Linked DNA regions of Oryctolagus cuniculus. The protein of the gene in region 2 interacts with the protein of the main gene of each other region in a biochemical or structural test. Links are inferred from orthologs where the notes say so. Each region holds a gene or a part of one and is shown on either strand. Other genes may lie near its edges.

The links.
Region 1: of the proteins of CDC25C (region 2) and CHEK2, one has a biochemical effect on the other in vitro, tested with the Homo sapiens proteins (14 studies listed by BioGRID). The link is inferred for Oryctolagus cuniculus from reciprocal best matches to the Homo sapiens genes CDC25C and CHEK2.
Region 3: of the proteins of CDC25C (region 2) and MARK3, one has a biochemical effect on the other in vitro, tested with the Homo sapiens proteins (3 studies listed by BioGRID, with this or other methods). The link is inferred for Oryctolagus cuniculus from reciprocal best matches to the Homo sapiens genes CDC25C and MARK3.
Region 4: of the proteins of CDC25C (region 2) and PLK3, one has a biochemical effect on the other in vitro, tested with the Homo sapiens proteins (2 studies listed by BioGRID, with this or other methods). The link is inferred for Oryctolagus cuniculus from reciprocal best matches to the Homo sapiens genes CDC25C and PLK3.
Region 5: of the proteins of CDC25C (region 2) and CHEK1, one has a biochemical effect on the other in vitro, tested with the Homo sapiens proteins (16 studies listed by BioGRID and IntAct, with this or other methods). The link is inferred for Oryctolagus cuniculus from reciprocal best matches to the Homo sapiens genes CDC25C and CHEK1.

The regions. Positions count from the first base shown.
Region 1 is NC_091452.1:22,137,788-22,141,299, forward strand, and holds part of CHEK2 (serine/threonine-protein kinase Chk2), read right to left. Parts: intron 2,986-3,512; coding exon 2,822-2,985; intron 2,603-2,821; coding exon 2,487-2,602; intron 2,374-2,486; exon of another isoform or gene 2,274-2,373; intron 1,463-2,273; coding exon 1,377-1,462; intron 1-1,376. UniProt on the Homo sapiens protein: Serine/threonine-protein kinase which is required for checkpoint-mediated cell cycle arrest, activation of DNA repair and apoptosis in response to the presence of DNA double-strand breaks.
Region 2 is NC_091437.1:26,129,328-26,132,839, reverse strand, and holds part of CDC25C (M-phase inducer phosphatase 3), read left to right. Parts: intron 1-2,425; exon of another isoform or gene 2,426-2,755; intron 2,756-3,025; 5' UTR 3,026-3,059; coding exon 3,060-3,253; intron 3,254-3,512. UniProt on the Homo sapiens protein: Functions as a dosage-dependent inducer in mitotic control. Tyrosine protein phosphatase required for progression of the cell cycle. When phosphorylated, highly effective in activating G2 cells into prophase.
Region 3 is NC_091451.1:46,337,382-46,340,893, forward strand, and holds part of MARK3 (MAP/microtubule affinity-regulating kinase 3), read left to right. Parts: intron 1-2,785; coding exon 2,786-2,947; intron 2,948-3,512. UniProt on the Homo sapiens protein: Serine/threonine-protein kinase. Involved in the specific phosphorylation of microtubule-associated proteins for MAP2 and MAP4. Phosphorylates the microtubule-associated protein MAPT/TAU. Phosphorylates CDC25C on 'Ser-216'.
Region 4 is NC_091438.1:128,082,234-128,086,516, forward strand, and holds the start of PLK3 (serine/threonine-protein kinase PLK3), read right to left. Parts: upstream 2,810-4,283; 5' UTR 2,704-2,809; coding exon 2,494-2,703; intron 2,330-2,493; coding exon 2,222-2,329; intron 2,139-2,221; coding exon 2,022-2,138; intron 1,896-2,021; coding exon 1,766-1,895; intron 1,685-1,765; coding exon 1,597-1,684; intron 847-1,596; coding exon 751-846; intron 674-750; coding exon 475-673; intron 363-474; coding exon 236-362; intron 100-235; coding exon 8-99; intron 1-7. UniProt on the Homo sapiens protein: Serine/threonine-protein kinase involved in cell cycle regulation, response to stress and Golgi disassembly. Polo-like kinases act by binding and phosphorylating proteins that are already phosphorylated on a specific motif recognized by the POLO box domains.
Region 5 is NC_091432.1:118,825,406-118,829,640, forward strand, and holds the start of CHEK1 (serine/threonine-protein kinase Chk1), read left to right. Parts: upstream 1-1,427; 5' UTR 1,428-4,045; intron 4,046-4,059; exon of another isoform or gene 4,060-4,214; intron 4,215-4,235. UniProt on the Homo sapiens protein: Serine/threonine-protein kinase which is required for checkpoint-mediated cell cycle arrest and activation of DNA repair in response to the presence of DNA damage or unreplicated DNA.

The DNA.
Region 1 (3,512 bases), on a different chromosome or scaffold from region 2:
AACAGTTTTCTTTTGAGACAAAAAGCACAAGAAAAATAGGCTGCGATTGCTCGTAAATTCTAGGCAGATGCAAACCTGTTCCCAGGCCTAACTGGCCAGCTCCACTCCCCACCCCCACCCGGCCAAATGGACATAGCTCCTTATCTCTACATTTGGGCTCCAAGAGTTTCCCTGTTAGGACACATGAAAAGAGCCAAGAAGCATGTTTCTCTTTCTCACCAAAATTAAATCCCCACATGCATAGGGCATCCTTTGTCTCCAAACTCCTTTGCTCCGGGGTCCTGCTGTTTCAAGTCTGTGTGGTCTATTAAATGCTAAATCATCTGACAGATTTCTTCTGGGGGGGACTGCAGTTTCCAGGGCAACATCCAAAACACATATATCTGCCTTTTTTTTTCTTTTAAGGATTTGCTGCTCTCAACCTGAGCTGAGTTGAGCAAACTGTTAGGTGTAGAGGGTAGCAAGAGTGAAGGCACAATCTTCCAGGAGTCCCAAAAGTATGGAGCTGAGGCCAAATGGTCCAACGAGTTCCTAGACCAGCAATCCCCATAGTGATGGCCTCTTTCTTGAGCGACATGGCTTAAGAGACCATGCACACACGAGACCAAAGGTTAACAGAAATAAGAATGGCTGTACTGAGAAGACTAGACATCCATCAGAAATCCTACCCCATGCTGTAGCTAATTCCAAAACTAAAGACTACCCTAGCAAAGCCACAAAGGACTTCCAACTCTGGCAGCTCCAAATGAGGTCAGTGCACAACTGAATGGCAACCACAACCCCCAGCAGGAAGATGAGGGTAATGCAGACTTGAAAGGTGCAGGTGACAGCCCACACTGATGGCATGCTTACTCACCATGAACCAGAAGTGGGACCCTGACATCCAATTACTGGGGCTTGAGAAATAGCTGCATTCTCCCCCAGGAAGTCAACCCTCCTCCACCTCCCCCAGGTTCCCAGATTCAAGGCTGCTGATGGCTGGAATGCAGCCCACCCATCCTGGGACGGCAGGGAATGGGGTGGGGGGGTGGGGGTGGAGTATTGTTAAGGGTGGAGCCAGAGAAATCTCTCAAAGGAACAGAGCCAAATGTAGACTCAGGGCAGCCAAGTGGGGCTGGAATAAGCCATAAAGTGCTTGTCCATCCAACAGCCTCAATAATAGCACAGAGATTACATGCCACAAATATACATACAACCACACCCTACCTATTACCTACAGCTTGATCTAAAATAATTGAACAGACCGAAGGAAACAAATGTGTTTCTGTCCTCTTCTTCCTCCTCTTCCTCCTCCTTCTTCTTTCTCTCTCTCTCTCTCTCTGCCATTTGAGGGCCCTCCATGTATTTTATGCTAGCAAAAATTGCCCCACACCAACCTGAAGCCAAGGGTGATTTAAAGCTTCTTCTGTTGTAAGACGCACCTTTGGGTCCACTACCAACAACTTCTTGACGAGGTCCAGAGCTAAAGCAACAAGATAATTGGGCAGAGCACAGTGAAAAGGATCAATACATGGAATCAGCAATATTAAAGTATACCAGAGTTACAGGCCACCATCCAGAAAGAGAGAGGGTCTGAGATCACCATGGAGTCAGCAGAACGGTGGGCAGGGCCCCTGTTCCTCCTCACTCCCAGTGTCCAAAGTACTCTACTCTGAACACCTGGGTTGATAATGATACTCCCTGTGTCTCCCTTCTGGGACATTACAACCTCTCAGCTCCTGTTCCCTGTTACTGGACTCAAGTTCAAAACTAATTACAGCTGAACTTTCACCCAGTTGTAAGAAACTCAGGATGCATAGCCAGCTCGCTCTCGCGCGCTCTCTCTCTCTCTCTCTCACCCAGGGGCTGATGCTGCCAGTTCCTAAACCAGAAAGAGGCTCCCTGGAACTGCAGCCTTGTTGGAAAAGAACTACTCCAGCAATCAACAGTTCCAGGCTGGTTTATCTACCCCAACAATGCTATTCCTTAAACATTCCGACATTTAACAGAATCACCTAGGTTACATTGTTTGACATTTAGTTTTCATTCTCTACTTCTTCTTCAGGGAATTACAAGGTTGCACTTTTAAGTTATAAAATACAATGGCATCTGGCTTTTACACTACTTAAAGGAAACTTTGCAACTGAAGAGTTACTTATTATTTTGCTCACTCAACTGGGAAACAGGCACTTGTATAAAGGATACTTAAGCCTTATAAAAGGCCTCTAAAGTAAGGGTTATTAAGGGCCCAGTTGACAAATAAAGACAATGGGGACTGGGAGGGGTTAAGTTACCTGCCTAAGGCCAAACAGCTATGCAGATCCAGGACTTGAGCCCAGGCTCTTAGAATAAAATTCCTCTGCTTTTCAAGTGGTGCAAAACTAACACTAGAAGCTAAGAACAGAATTGACAGGAGAAAACATATCATAGAATTTGAAAAGAAGCTCCCACCACAGCACACACACATTTTGGCAAACCACAGACTCTTAACCCTTTCGTATCCATACCCTTCTCTGAAACATCTGCCCAGACTTCAGGAATGAAGTTGTATTTTCCACTGGTGATCTGATCCTTCAGGGACACTTGCGTCTTATGCTCAGAGAAAGGTGGATACCCACTAAGGCTTAATATTGGCAGAAAGAGAAAGGAGAAGAAATCAAGTGGCATTTTCAGTGGCATTTGGACATATGGATGTCTTTTTCATTACCATGAAAAATCAAGTATTTCTTTAGATCCATGGTTGAAAAGTGACCTCAATGAAACCTGGAATCCATCTGAACAAGTTTACGATTTCATCTAATCACCTCCAACCAGACTGTGAGGCAATGAAAGCTTTTCTTACCAGATAAAAAGGATGACGCCCAGGCTCCAGCAGTCCACAGCGCGGTTATACCCGGCTGTCCCAATGGACAGAAGAACCTCAGGAGCCAAGTAGGTGGGGGTACCACACAAGGTTCTCATGAGCGAGGTCTCCCCCAAAATCTTGGACTGCCCAAAATCAGTAATCTAAAAATAAGCACAAAAGGGAATAACAAATAATATAAACATATATTATACAGAGTATATATACACATGTGTGTGTATGTGTTTGTGTGTGTATTGATGAACAGACTCTGCCAGTCCCAAAAGACATGTAAGGGAGGGTGCTGTGGCACAGCTTCAGATATCCACAACCCATATTATCCCATATTTGAGTCCTGGCTATCTGCACTTCCAATAAAGCTTCCCCATAACGTACCTGGGAGGCAATGGATGGCCCAAGTACTTGGATTCCTGCCACCCATTTGGGAGATCCAAGATTTCCTGGCTCCTGGCTTGTATTAGCTTTTCCCTGGCAGTTCAGGGGGGCAATAGGGAATGAACCAGCAGATGGAGGATCTCCTTCTCACTCTTTTTCTGTCTCTCCTTCTTTCTGTCACTCTGCCTTTCAAATAAATAAATATATCTTTTTGGCCACTGTTGTAGCACAGCAGGTGAAGCCACCACCTACAATGCTTGCATCTCATATGAGCACAGGTTCAAGTGCTGCTCCC
Region 2 (3,512 bases):
AGATCTCCCGTGTGGGTGCAGGGGCCTAAGCATTTGGGCCATCCTCCACTGCCCTCCCAGGCACATAGCAGGGAGCTGGAAAGGAAATGGAGCAGCTGGGACATAAACCACCAGCATCTATATGGGATGCCAGTGTCATAGGCAGCACCTTAACCAGCTATGCCACAACGCCAGCCCCGGAGTCCAATCTTAATTATTCCCTCATGGATCAGACCCCACCTGTGATCTTGCTCCAAAGAGTTTCAGCAGAGTATGCTTCCTGGGCCCCCTTCTGGTGTCCATGCAAATTCAATGAGGTTTCCAGGGCCTGGTGCTAGTCATCCAGGAAGTCCTCCAAAGGGAAGAATCCATTGGCTTGAGGGGTCGCTCCATTCCCTGCCTACAAAGGTAGCAAAGTCAGAGGCAGATGCATTCGTGCGGACGCTCCCTTTTCACCCAGGGAAAATTAAACCTCTTCAAAGTGGGGAGAGGCAGAACTCAGTCCATCACTCATGGAAGTAAGCAGTAGTGACACCCTGCCCTGTAGAGATTGGCCGGAGGTGGGTAGGGGTCCCAGGTGTGTAGGTCCTTCTCCATTACCTAATCTGGATATCTGAGGAGCAATGGCTGTACCTTCTGTTCTTGTTTGAGGTTTGAAGGTGAAGCCCTGGCTGTCACTGTGGCCTGGCAATAACAAATATGGGTCACACTGAGGTCAACATGAAGAGACACAGCTCACTGCTTATCACAGTGAATCGGGAGCCTAGATAGTAATTTCTGGGAATGACATAAGATCAATATCCTCTATCTAACAGAAAAAGTACATCTTCATCTTCATGTCAGTCTAAACACCTAGCTTCTTACTATCCTGATGTTCTTTCTTCTGGGAAGTGTAAATTAGATATATTCCAATCCCCTCAGAAGTCAAGATACAAAAGACAAAATTTGACTTCCCTTTAAAATACATCGAAGCAGAAATCAATGCACACACTCTTAATTCCTGCCTGATTTTCCAGCTCATTTGGTAGAGTAAGGCTTTGTGCTGACTCCCACACTCAGCACCTCTGTCCTGGAGGACAAAGACTGTTCACAAACCTCCTTTCTGGGGAAGCAGGCTCCACAGATGAAAAAGTTAAAATAAAACTCATCTGACTAGTCTGCACTGCTCATTCACTACCATCACCAAGATCCTGAGGTCAATATAAGTTGTATTGCTGACTTACTGCATCTCAAAGATAACGTTTGCATTTCTGACTTTTATTTCTCAAAGTGGGGTCTGTGAGCCATCTGTATGGGTAGTACCCTGGGGTGAGGTGGTTAGGTCTTGATAATACCTGGTCCCCACACTACACCTGTGGCAACATCTTTTTTGGGGCCTGCATTTTAAACAGCTTTTATAAGCTTATAAAGCTTTTTTTTAATATGAGCCATTCTAAATACACACTGAAGTGTGACGAGTATAGCATAATCCCTTACCTAAGTATGGTCCCAAGTCCAAGTGCCTCAACATCAGCTGGGCATTTGTTTAAAGTGCAGGATCTTGGGACACAATGCAGCCCTGCTGAACAGACTCTGCATTTTGACAGGATCTCCAGATGATTAGAAGGCAAAACTAAATTTTAGGAAACCCTAATATGATGGACACCTCCATTACCCAAGAGTCATGACAAATCTCATCTATAAACCACCCAATTATTAAGAAGCATCTTCCCAGTATTAAAAAATTTCAACTAGTCAGTGTTCAGATTTCTAAAGATCTTTTGCACTGTGATAAGGATGGATTGTGCCTGGATGATTCAATTTCCTTACTTTCCCTGAGAAGCAATTTCTTTTTACCCACATAATTATCGACTGTGAGCTGCTGCGCTCTCAAAGGGACACCGGACAACGGAAGCTCCTTGGAAGGCACCTATCTTGCTTAGCATAAACACACACACCTGCTCACACCTCCACCTGCCACCCCGCAGCAAATGCCTGGTCCTCAGAGGAAAGCTAGCTAAGACGGAAAGGTCCCATAACGACGCAAGAAAAGCAAGGAAAAAATAATGCTTAAAACACCCTCACACTCCTAATTATCTCTTCTAATATCCTAGCAAATGGTGGTGGTTAACGAGGAGCAATTTAAATCTCCCGGGGTTGGCGGGGCGGGGCAAAGGGAAAGTACAGAGAAGGTGTGGCGATTGGCCAGAGGGAGAGCCAGTGGTGCGTCAGGCTCCCTGCGGGGCGGAGCCTATTCACAAGCTTGCCCGACGCTAGTGCACCACTCGCCATCCTGCTCTGGCTCCAGGGGTGGGGCATGTTTTGTCCCACTTCCGGAACCTGCTCACGCCCCCCGGGTGAGGTACGAGCCAAAAGATTGGCTACCAGGATGTGGGCGGGCGCGCGGAGATTGGCTGACGCGTCTTGGAGGCCAGCGGGGATAGGTTAGTGGGAGGGCGGAAGGTTTGAATGGTCGAGACTCGCGGCTGTTGATGGGCTTGTCCAGAGGCTCTAGCGCTGGCTTTCTGACCTGAGGGGCGGCGAAGCCCGACCCTGGCCTACGCAGTGGACAAGCGGAATTTCAAGCTGGTGAACCGCGTCCTTTCATTCTGCTCGAGTCTTCGCTCGTGTCCGACCGCTACCCACTTTCTCCCGAAGGCCGTTGTCAGACTACAAACGTGAGGTAAATTTGGCCGCTGTCTCCGCCACAGAGTGCCCAGGACCTCATTGTCCCCTCGATTAGTTCAGAGGACGGAATGGGCATTGCCATGACTTGGGAGAGCTGAGCCCCTTCCAGGTAGGAGTGTCCAGTTGTGTGGCTCTGAGCAGGTGGAAGGTCTGTCTGTATTCCGCGGTTAAAGTCCTGAGGTTGCCTCTCAGTAAGTGCAGGCTCTGACGCAAAAGCCCCGCCGCTTCGGGCCAGTGCCTTAGGCGTCGAGCGAGGCTGTGATCCGCCCTTTGGGGATGCCCCTGGTGCGGCTCCGGTCCCCTTGACTGCAGACCTGAGGGGGTTGGAATCGGAAGGGGCTGCGCTGCACTTACAGGAGCGACGTCCTCTTCTCGCTAGGTTTCGCCTTTTCCTTGGTGAGAGCTCCGAGACCATGGCTGCAGATCTCTTTTCGTCCACGAGAGAGGAGGGGAGCTTTGGCTCAGGCCCCAGTTTTAGGTCCAATCAGAGGAAGATGCTACACCTGCTCTTGGAGAGAGACAATTCCTTTACCCTCTGTCCAGAGCTCCCGAGAACTCCAGGGGACAGACTGCTTGGTGATTCTGCAAATCTCAGCGTTTTGTCTGGGTAAATCCACCTTTATTCTTAAAGCTTATATCCTTGACTTCTCTAAACAAGTGTGTGTGTGTGTGTGTGTGTGTGTGTGTGTTTTGTTTTTTAAATTATCCTGGCTCAAAGATCAACATTGGAGTCTCAGCTCTGCTCTGACCCTTTTGAATCTCAGACTACTTTTCTGTTGCATGGAACTAATAATCTCTTCCTGTCTTCCTGGGTTCTGGTAAGAGTCAAATAATGTGATATCTGGGAAAACTCCATATCATTATGT
Region 3 (3,512 bases), on a different chromosome or scaffold from region 2:
ACCAGGGAATAGATCATCGATCAGTTGATTGATCTCTCATTCACTGCCCTTCATTTAAATAGGGGAAAATGAGATCTTTCTAATTATTTATTATATAAGGCATTTGTTTCCAGTTATTCTCTGATTATATCGAGCCACTCTCCCGAAGCAGAGGGAAAAATTCTCAAATAAAAGTGCAAAGACAGGTGTGGGTGTTGGTGCAGCAGGTTAAGCCACCACTTGGAATGCCTGCATCCTATATAGGGAGTGCTGGTTTGAGTCCTAACTACTTCCAATCTGCTTTCCTGCTCTATCATCCAGGAAGCAGTAGATGATGGCTCCATTGCCTGGGCACCTGCTACCCATGTGGGAGACCCACATAGAGTTCTAGGCTACTGGCATCAGCCTGTCCCATCCCTGGCTGTTGGCATTTGGGGAGTAACTCAGCAGATGGAAGCATTCTTTCGCTCTCTACCTTTCAAATAAATGAAAATAAACTTTTTTCTAATGTAAGCAGCCCTTTTTGACCAGTTCATTTTAAAGACCTGTCTCCCTCATGTTAGGAATGTCAGAATTCTAGTAGCTTGTTGTTGGACTAACTAGTCTCCTTAAGAAGAGCATATATTGAGTACCTGCTTTGCCTGGGGCTCCGTCTGACCCCACGGGACACCCTGACAAGATTATGGGCCATTCTTCCAGGGAGCCCCAGTAGGAAAGAGTCATTGTGATCCAGTGTGGCACACATGACTACAGACGCTAAAGGAGCAGCACATCAGAGGAAACTTCATGGAGGAAATGACCTCCAGAGTGCATGGATAGGTGCCTGCTCTCCAGGCTGAGAGGAAGCTCCTGGAGAAGTTCATTGACTAGTGCTGATCAGGAGAGCCAGAGTCAGGTTCCAAGAGGAAGCAACAGAAGGTGGAGCCTGGCAGTGTGGCAGGGTGCAGACCGCAGGTACCTGAAGATGAGGAGTTTGACTCACTGCTGCAAAAGGGTATGAGCAGATAAGTGACAGGCCATGTTTGTGTTGTGAGGAGTTCACAGCTATTTGGTGGATAGATTGGAGGTAGAGGATGAAGTCAGGGAGATGATAAAGATGAGGAACAAAGCCCTATACCAGATTCTGATGGCAGAGGTGGACAGAGAGAGAGGGCCGACTGAAGAGCTCCTAGACATTGACACCAGGGTCTGTGTCACAGATGTCACAGGGGGTCTGTAAGTGGGAGTTGAGGAAATTCTAAAATTCTGTTGTCCCTAGTGGAAAGAAACTGTCCCTTGGGATCCTGCAGATGTTATGACTGAACTGGAGTTGAGTAGAAGTGGTCATAGTGAGACCTCCAGGGTGGCTTTGGCCCTTAACTGTCTGTGCAGGTGAACTGCAGCCTTCAACCACTGTAGGGTCTGTAAACAGCTAATTTGCTCTGAAGAATTTTCCCATCTTGAAAGAAGGAGCTTTGATTCTTTAGGAATTTTGGCTGTCCTTTATAAAGGAATAGATGTCCTATGAGTAGCAAAGTTTGAAACTGTTGTTAAAAGAACATGGCCGGTGCCGCGGCTCACTTGGCTAATCCTCTGCCTGCGGTGCTGGCACCCCAGGTTCTAGTCCCAGTTGGGGCACTGTCCCAGTTGCTCCTCTTCCAGTCCAGCTCTCTGCTCTGGCCCGGGAGGGCAGTGGAGGATGGGCCCTGTACCCACATGGGAGACCAGGAGGAAGCACCTGGCTCCAGATCGATGCAGTGCATCGGCCGTAGCAGCCATTTGGGGGGTGAACCAACAGAAAAGAACTTTCTCTGTCTCTTTCTCTCTCTCAATGTCTAACTCTGCCTGTCAAAAAAAAAAAAAAAAAAAAAAAAAGCAACACAGGATATGATATGTCAGTGTGTTTTCAGAAAGATTGACAGCACAATATGCTTATCTCCAGTTGTCCCCTCTCATCCAAGGTTTTGCTTTGGACAATTTCAGCTACCTAGTGTCAACCATAGTCCAGAAATACTAAATGGAAGATTCTAGAAATAATTCATAAATTTTCATTTATTTTACTTTTTTAATATGTATTTATCTATTTGAAAGTAGAAAGGGAGAGACAGAAAGGGATCTTCCATCCACTGGTTCACTTCCCAGATGGCCACAGTGGCCAGGTCTGGACCAGGCTGAAGCCAGGAGCCAGGAACTCTGGTCTCCTGCATGGGTGGGTATGGGCCCAAGTATTTGGACCATCTTCTGCAGTCTCCCCTGGTGTGTTAGGAAGCTGGATCAGAAGGACAGTAACTGGGACTGAAACTAAGATGTGGGTGTCACAACCAGCTGAACCACCAGTGCCATGATGCTGGCCCCAATTCTTAAGTTTTAAGCAACTTCTATTACAGTATATTTTTCTATATTATTGTTAAATTTCTTAATTTGCCTGATTTATAAATGAAATCTTATCACTGATATGTGTGCATAGGAGAAAACGTAGTGTATCAGGTTCTGAACATCTTAGACTGTGTCCGTCAAGATTAAAGGGAATTGCTGTTTTGCCTGTAGCAAACTCAGAGGGTGCTGTTACTCTCACATAGATAATTCACACATAACACTTACTCTTTAAGTTAATAAACTTTTAAAATTACTGTTTGAAAAAAAGCCAGCTCTAGGTTATCAGATAGACCAAAAATCCCCGAAACAAGATAAGAGATTTTTGTTCTTTCACAAAGCTGAGATTGTTTGGGAAGGAAGGTGTGTGCTTTGAATAGCAGTTTCCTCTTTTTTCACCATTACTCCGTCATACTGTTGTTTCTGCCTCTGCCTGAACCCAAACCCCTCCCAGCCTGACAGAAGTGTTCGCTTACGCAGCTAGCACTGCCTCAGTTTGTGCCACATCCTCCACCTGCCGGCTGAGACATCAGAAGTCGATGTCGATGTCAGCCTGTGGGCACCCCAGGATGATGCTAACTCCAGTAGACAGTGGAGGGGATAACTTCAAGGCTGTGTAAGAAAAATCCACATTCCTGTGAAACTGCCGTGTACCCACTGCTGCTCAATTCTGTGCAGTGGATTTTATAGTCCAAGATTTTGTTACAGTCGTCCCCAAGGTGTCCTTCTATGTGATTGTGATTAAGCACATCCTGTCCCTGTCCTTGGTCATCTCTGTGTGTTTTTGTGCCTTTGCATACCACAAAGGGCAAAAGAAATTCCCTCTGCCTCCTGCGTTGCCTTCAGCATGTGGGATTTTATGCCATTTGTGTGCTTCCAGACATTTTAGTTGCCTGTTGTTTACTTACACCTCCATATCCTTTCTTTCTCTCACATTGGCACAGTTCTCTACATGTAAGCAGTTTGAGAGGGAAGCAGAGGGGAGAAGCCTGAGTCGGCCGTTCTGTCCTGAGTTCCCTTCCATTAATCTTGTCCTTAAAGACTTACGTAAACTGGAACTCCGTGAGGCTTTCTCTTACATGCTATTGCTTGGTCCTCTTTCCCACCTCCTTTTGTTTGTAAGTCCTATTAAGCACCTCTTGGATTTGGGTTTGTTATACCTGACTTTCTGCCTTGGGAAG
Region 4 (4,283 bases), on a different chromosome or scaffold from region 2:
TGCTCACCTCGGGCCTGGCATCCTGGTGGCCAATGGATGTGCGCACAAGGCCGCTCACCAAACAGGAGACTTCATCCCGCTCCTCAGGATGGTTCTTGTCTGGGGAAGAAGGCAGCTCCTCAGACTCCCGCCCTGCGCCCCTGCTCCCCGCGGGGTGCCACGCCTGCTCCCTCATGCCCGCGGCCTGTGTGACAAGCCACTCTGTACCCTCAACCTACGGACAGCTCAGACTCACTCTTATTCTTCTTCCTGCCAAAGAGGCTCTTGGTGACTTTGGCAAACAGACTCCTAGCCGGATTGGGGGGTGTCAGGTCTGGGACTGTCACGCAACTGCTGACGGGGAGCCGGTCGGGGGTGTAGCCCTGGGAAGAGGAGCGCCGCCGTGAACAGAGAAAAGAGGCTCCCGGGCCCTGTCCCCCCCACCCCTATTTATCTCTGGGAATGTGGGCTTCGGTGTCTGGGGAACCCACAGACCTTGGTAAAGAAGTCATGGCGCAGGATCTGGTCGATAGAGGGGCGGTCTCGGGGTGAGGCCCGCAGGATGGCGGCCAGGAGCTGCCGGGCAGGCAGTGAGAGGCTGGCGGGCAGCGTGTAGTGAACCTGCTTGATGCAGCGGTACGTCTCCTTCAGGTCAGCCGTCTCAAAGGGGGGGCTCCCACACAGCAGAGTGTACCTGTGGGGCCAGGCAAAGGGTAAGGGGGAGGGCACACCGCACCCCTGTGCCCACCCCCGTCTCTCCCTGGCACTCACATGACACAGCCCAGTGACCACACATCTGCCTCAGGGCCATGACCCTGTCTCAGCAGTACTTCTGGAGCCACATAGTTGGGGGTGCCACAGATGGTCCTGGAAGAAGGTAGGGAGGAGGAGGGGGAGGCTCAGCCCCAGCCCCACAGCCCTCCCTGCCCCCGCTGCGAGTCCAGACAAAGCAGCTGCCTGTCACCAAAGGCCAGAGAACTCCTGCTTGTCCTGGGACAATGGATGCTGGGGACGGCAGCTGAGTCCCCGCCTACTCTCTTGGCCCAGCTGCTCAGCTGCGCTATGGGACAGGCAGAGGCCCTGACCCCCAACTCAGCCCCCTCCTCCACAGAGGGCCTGCTACAGCTCCCTTCCCCTCCCCCACTCCCGTCTGTCAGACACCCTCCTAAGGTCTGCGCCACACACACCAACACCAGCTGTCACATCGCCCGTAAACACTCATCTGCCCCACATGCTACGTGTGTCATGCACGCCCAGTCACAATGGCCACAGGACGTCACGTCCCACCATCCCCACGCTCTCTGTCTCACACATACAGGTCTACACTGGCACCTTCCCCCATCCACACCCAGGGTCAGCCACACACCTCTGAGAGTCCTGGCACCTCAGACGCAGGGCCACCAACCCCCTCTGTGTTTGTCATGCACCTCCCCAGTCACAGCGACCCAGGCTGCCACCTCCACCTTCGCACACAAACAACCCCATTACCCTTTCCTCGTTTACCACCAGCACACACCCGGCCGTCACACTGCCTCCCACGTCCATACGCACAGTCTGCCACACACACTGATCTGTGTCACACACAGACTGTGGCCACCCCTCCCATCAAACACTTACTTCTTCCTCTGCTCTGGCGGTTCCAACCGAGCTGCCAGCCCAAAATCCCCCACCTTGAGTTCCATGTTCTCGGTGATGAAGAAATTTCCTGGACAAGGACAGAGAGGTGTGTCAGAGCCCTCCCTCGCTTCCTCCCCAACCCCCCATCCTTGGGGCCCAGGAGCCTCACCCAGCTTGAGGTCCCGGTGCAAGATGCCTCGCTGGTGCAAGTACTTGAGGCCGGAAAGAATCTGCCGCAGGTAGTAGCGAACCTCTGGCTCCAACAGGGTGTGTCGGGCCTTCCAGATGTGGGCCAGGGACTGCAGAGAGCCACTGTCTTAGCCCACCCCACGCCACCTCCGCCCGCCCCCAGCTCTGAGTCTTAAGACCGCCCCCCCACCCCGCCGTCCCCCTGCCCCATCCCCGCCAGAATCACCATTCCTCACCTTTCGACTGCAAAGCTCCAGAAAAATGTATATGTTGTCAGCATCCTCAAAGTGGTGCGAGAAGCGCACGATATGGCGGTGCTGCAGGTCTCGGTGCAGTTCAATCTCGTTCAGGATCTGCGATGGGGGTGCGAGGCGGTCATCCTCCCAAGATTCCCACGCCACCGACCCCACCCCTCGGCCGCCGGGCCCGGACCCACCTTCTCGCGCTGATGCGGCTTGGCGACACGACTCTGCGGGATGACTTTGACCGCGTAGGCGCTGCCGGTCTCTGTGTCGGTGGCCTCGTAGCAGCGGGCGAAGCCCCCCTATGAGGAGAGGCCATCAGGCCGGGAGCTCCAGGGAAGGCGGATCTGGCCCGCAGGCAGGCGTCCCCGCGTCGGGTCACGCGCCCCTACCCCGCCCGACGCCGGAAAAGAGATCGGCGGAGCCCCCTCCACCCCACCCGCATCACGGAGAGCCCCCGACCCACCTTGCCCAACAAGCGGCCTTTGAAGTAGGTGCGGCCGCTGCCCGGGTCGGTGATGAGGCGCCCGGGGTCCGGCGCCGGCCGCCCGGCCAGCATCTCGGGCTCGGGTCTGGGCGAGGCACTCTGAGGCGGCCCGGGTCCGGCGGGGGGCGCGGGCGGGGCGGCCGCACGCGGGAAAGGGCGCGGGGACAGGAAGCCGGCGGCAGGCTCCATGCGGACAGCGCGACGCAGCGCGGCCCCGGCTTGCTCTCCGTTCCGCCCGGCCCCGGCCGCGCGTGGCGCTGCCTGGATTTGCTACGCTGCGCTCGCGCCTGAGGGAGCCCGGCGTTTTTATCAATGAACGCCTGTCCCCACCCCGGCGTCTCGTCACCGACAGCCCCGCCCCTTCCTGGCCGCGAGTCCCGAGAAGCCACGCCCCTTGCCGGCCTTGCGTCACCTAAAAGCTCCTCCTCCTCCTCGACGCGCTTCGAGGCCCCGCCTCCCGCCCACCCTGTAAAGCAGGCGCTACCCTGCCGGTCGCCAGGCAGGTGCCAGTGGGGCGCTCGGGCTAACTGAGGCTTGTCTCCCCGTACACCCCTCCCTGGCCGCGTCCCGCTAAAGGGTCCTCCTTCCTTTCCATATTCTTCGGTGTGGGCACTGAAGTTGCAGTGAGGGGCAGGCATGGGCGGAGTCTCCAGCGGGGATGGAGAGCCTTATTTCTTCCAGGGCCATTTGGTTACCTATAACATCTTTACAAAATGATCAGCTTAAAAAGTATCCTGCTGTTGGGGCCTGCATTGTGTCCTGGTGGGTAAAGCCCATAAAGCTTTCCATATGGGCACCAGATATGGGCACCGGTTCCAGTCCCGGCTGCTCCACTTCTGATCCAGCCCTCTGCTAACGGCCTGGGAAAAGCAATGAGAAAATGGCCCAAGTGTTTGGGCCCCTGCCATCCACGAGGGAGACCCGGAAGAAACTCCTGGCTTCACTGTGCTCATCTGGGGAGTGAACAGCAGGAGGAAGATCTCCCTGTCTCTCCTTCTCTCTCTCTAACTCTGACTTCCACATAAATAAATAAATCTCTTTAAAATTAGCCTGCTATAGATTTATTGAATTTAGAGTCTACCTGCTGATTGTCTTGGCAGGGCCAGATCAAATTGCTTCCTGAGCCTTAACCACTCACCCCAGGCCGGCAGGGCGTTCCCCACCTGTGATAGGTGGATCACACTGGGACCTTGGATGAGGAGGCTCTAGCTTTCGTCTGGGTGTGTCAGGGCGTGTCACCCACATTACCCTTACAGCATTCAGTACCTAGAGGTCCCACGCCTGGGCCAGGCCAGCCGGGCCAGGCCAGTGCTGCCCCCTGTAGAGAGTGACAGGAATGGCACACTCTGGAGCCGAGCTTGGAAAGTGGAGGGAGACAGAGATCTGGTTCCCTCCCTAAATGGCCACAGCAGCTAGAGCTGGGCCAGGTTGAAGTTGGGAGCAGGAACTCCATCCTGGAGTCTCACATGAGTGGCAGGGGCCCAAGGACTTGGGCCATCCTCAGCTGCCTCTCCAGGTGCACTAGCAGGAAGCTGAATCGGAAATGGAGCAACTGGGATTCCAACCGGCACCCATATGTGATTCTGATGTTACAGGCAGCAGCAGCTGGTCCTGGGGCCGTCTGGAGTCAGACCCCGCTTGGTGCCCACCTTTCCCAGGGCCAGAGACAGAGATGGGGTCTGAACTCCTCTGGAGTGTTCGTGCAATGACCACAGCTCCTCTCAATTCTGTCCTCACCCTGTACCATCCAATCAGTTGCTAAAGTCACT
Region 5 (4,235 bases), on a different chromosome or scaffold from region 2:
GCCATCCTCTGTGGCTTTCCCAGGCACATTAGTGGAGAGCTGGATTAGAAATGAAGCAGCAGTCAGGACTTGACCCACTACTCCAATAGGGGATGCTGGCCTGCCAAACATAATATCCCCCACGCGCCCTCTTATCACCTCTAAATACCTTCCTGACAAAGTGTTTGAAGGAGATAAATTTCTTGAGATTGCATGTTTCTTGTCACACTCAATTCATAGGTTGGCTGGATATTTCAGGTTGGGAATAATTTACTTTAGGATCATTGTGAAGGCATTGGCCTGCTGTTTATTCCAAATTTTGAGAAATGAATACTGTCCTGTTTTTTGGTATGTCTTTTCCCTCCCACTCATTGCAGACCTCTTAGAATCTTTAAAGTTGTTTTTTTTTTTTTAAGATTTATTTTATTTATTTGAAAGAGTTACAGAGAGAGGTAGAGACAGAGAGAGAGAGGTCTCTCCAGATGGCTGCAACGGCCGGAGCTGTGCTGATCCCAATGATGTGTTTTAAGTGAGTCATTCATTTTGCTGAGTACTTTGAATTTTTAAATATGGAAAGTGAAGTTCTTCAGTTCTGGTAAATATTCTTGTATTCCATGTGAATTCCTCCAACCCTCTTTCTTTCTGAAAAATTACTTATTTTGATGTTGAACTTTCTGAATTAAATCTCCTAGTATTCTTGTTGCTTTCCATCTTCCTTCTGGGAGACTTCCTCAACTTTATTTTTCTACTTAAAATAGTTTTTTTCTGCTATATTTTTAGTGATCAAAAGCTTTTTTTTTGGGTTTGAATATTCCTTTGTTTTGACATTTTTCCAATTAAAGACTCTCAAATTCTTGGTTGTCTGCTTTTTTGACTTGGATCCTAAAAAGCTCATTGAAAGGTTTGCTAGGGGCAGAGCTTATTGATATCAGTTTCTTTTCTTTCTTTTCTTTTTTTAAGATTTATTTATTTGAGTTACACAGAGAGGAGGAGAGGCAGAGAGAGAGAGAATCTTCCATCCGCTGGTTCACTCCTCAATCGGCCACACTGGCTGGAGCTGGGCAGATCCAAAGCCAGGAGCCAGGAGCTACTTCTGGGTCTCCCACGTGGGTTCAGGGACCCAAGGAATTGGACCACCTTCTGCTTTCCCAGGCCATAGCAGAGAGCTGGATCAGAAGTGGAGCAGCCGGGACTTGAACTGGTGCCCATAAGGGATGCCAGCATTGCAGGCAGCGGCTTTACCTGCTATGCCACAGCACTGGCCCCTCAGTTTCTTTTCTTTCTTTCTTTCTTTTTTTTGACAGGCAGAGTTAGACAGTGAGAGAGAGAGAGACAGAGAGAAAGGTTTTCCGTTGGTTCACTCCCCAAATGGCCTCTATGGCCGGCGTGCTGCGCTGATCTGAAGCCAGGAGCCAGGTGCTTCTTCCTGGTCTTGGAAGAAGGACTTGGGCCATCCTCCACTGCCTTCCCTGGCCACAGCAGAGAGCTGGACTGGAAGAGGAGCAAACGGGACAGAATCCGGCACCCCAACCGGGACTAGAACCTGGAGTGCCAGCGCCACAGGCAGAGGACTAGCCTAGTGAGCCGGGGCGCCGGCCAGCCCCTCAGTTGCAATCTATTGTGATTGGGCTAGACTGTTAAATTGGGAAATCTCTGACGCTGATATTTTTAGGTTATTTTTCTCCTACATAGGTGAGCATCCTTTGAAAAGGTTTGTGTATCCTCTTACTTAAGTATATAAGCCAAGCTGTCAGTTTTCTGTTAGTATAGTAGGGAAGGAAAATCTAAGGCTCAACCTTCAGTGCATAAACTCAATTCTATTGCTTTAAAGTACTCAAGCAAAAACCATGCCTAACACGGAAATGCTGAACTCAGTTCATATGCCATGCATTTACCTTTTCTAGTATTATCCTAGTTTTGATGTTGACTAGATCCTTGGTGCATGGAGGAATGGGGATAAAAGGGACAGTGGTTTCTTTGTTTCTTATGGTCTTTCTGTCTGTTTTTAACCCCACTTTCACCTCTACATTCAGCATTACCTGGATTCAGCAATTCAACTTGAACCTTTTGGGATTTCTGAGATGTAAATAAGTTGCTTTTCTGTTTTCCTATTGCTATCTTTGGGATTTATCTTTATTTCACTTAAGTTAGTACCTTTCATCTAAAGGTCTTCCATTTTCCAACATTTTATTAACCATTCTTAATGGTTTTTTAAAAATTTATCCCTTACTATTATTTTTGTAAGGTTTCATAAGGGAACGATCTATTCTCAGAAGTGCTATCTCATATATTCTACCTTTAAATGGTATTCTGCCTAAATCTGCATACCCTTTTTCAGGCTAAAATGATGTATTCTATCCAGACTACATGAGAACTGTGCAGCTCCTTTTCCTTTTTTAAAAGATTTTACTTGTTTGAAAGGCAGTTATAAAGGAAAGACATCTTCCATCCACTGGTTAACTCCCCAGATGGTTGCAATAGCAAGAACTGGAGCAGGTTGAAGCCAGGAGCTTCTTGGACTCCCACACCAGAGCAGGGGCCCAAGCACTTGGGCCATCCTCAGCTGCTCTCTCAGGCACGTTAGCAGGGAGCTGAGTTGGAAGTGGAGCAGCTGGGACTCGAACCGGCGCCCATATGGGATGCTGGTGTCCAGGTGGCAGCTTCACCCCCTTTGACACAACGTGGCCCCTCCTTTTCCTTTTTTAATAGTGGCAGATGTCTTCCATTCACTGGTTCATTCCCCAAATTCCTGATCTCACGTGGGTGGCAAGAGCTGAAGTACTTGGGCTAAGACTCTCAGGCTCATTAGCAGGAAGGTGGATTGGATCTCCAACCAAGCACTCTGATAAGTGGGACGTGGGTGTCCCATGCAGTGGCTTAAACTGCTGCAGCACTATGACTGCCTTTATCTGACCTCTTCATATTGTTTGCAGCATACAGTATGCATCTAGAACAGTTGCTGTGTATTACATGAAACCGAAACTGTAATACCATGTTTCAAAGCTTCATACGGAAAGCAGCTGGAGATTTATTCTTGATTTCTGCCCCTAAGTTTGCTTCTTTTCAGTCAGACGTGTGCATATTTGGTGCAATATATTTTACACCTATTACTAGTATGACAGTAGCTCGTTTTGCTAGGTGTATGCGGCTCAGCTTTGAGGACTGGCATACTTAATGGAGATGACCGTGTTGGTACCTTGAATTCTCACTTTCCAGACTGTTTAGTTAAGTCCTTTTCCTCAGAGTTTGGTTTGCCATTCAAGTTTGCTTTTATATTTGTATTGTAAATTTTTATTTTGGCTTCCACTTACCTATTTCTTATACATTAAGAATTAGAAAGCTAGCAGAACTAAACTAGGCAGATGGTCATCCTTCAAAAAGATTGGCTGAAGTATTGTTTTGGAGGCTTTTCACAGACAAGGCAAAACTGGTTCTCCTGACATTACCGCCAACTCCAAAAACATTAGATGCCTCTGGCTCCCACGTCAGAATTCACTCATTCTTCACAGGCTCCACTCTCAACAGCTGTTGCAAGCTTCTCGGCTCGAGAATGGGTCCGGCACTCAAGCTGACACAGTGTTTACGACGCTGCCCGCAGTTCCGCCGTGCAGGTGCGCGGAGGTCGCGGGCCGGTCGCTTTACTTAGAATAGCGACGTAGCCTTTCCCGGAGCAAAGCGGGGACCCCCCGGCCCGCAGGGATGGCCCGCTTTGGGACGGAGGCTTCCCCTCCGCCCAGTCGGGCTCCACACACCGGATGTCGTTTCGCATTTGGCCCAGAGGCCAATTCCCACTGACGGGACGGGCAGCTCCTAAATTTCTTCAACCAGGAACCTCACGGATTACAAAGTAGCCCGTGCCCGGCAGGCTGAAGACGTCCGCTGGAGGCACCGCCTCCTGGCGCGGGGCGTTAGCAGCAGCCAGTCTTCAGAGGAGGCAGGCATGGGAACGTGCGCTGCCCTACTTTACGGCAAGGACGCGCTCGTTTGCGACACGGTGACGCAAGCAAGTTTTGGCGGGAAAAGCGCTGCATTTGGATTCCTGTAGTGGCGGGCTAAGGACAGCCTGGTGAGGAGTGGCCGGTTGGGTGGGAAAGGAACCCGGGGAAGGGGTTCGGAAGTTAGTGAGGAGGAACACAGTGAGAAAGTTATCGTTGACGGGCGAAGGCAGAAGTGACTCCCGCGGAGAGGCGGTTTCGGAAGGTGGAGGTGTATAGTACTAAGGGGGTCTCCGTTGTGTGAGTAGGGGGCGGGGGGAA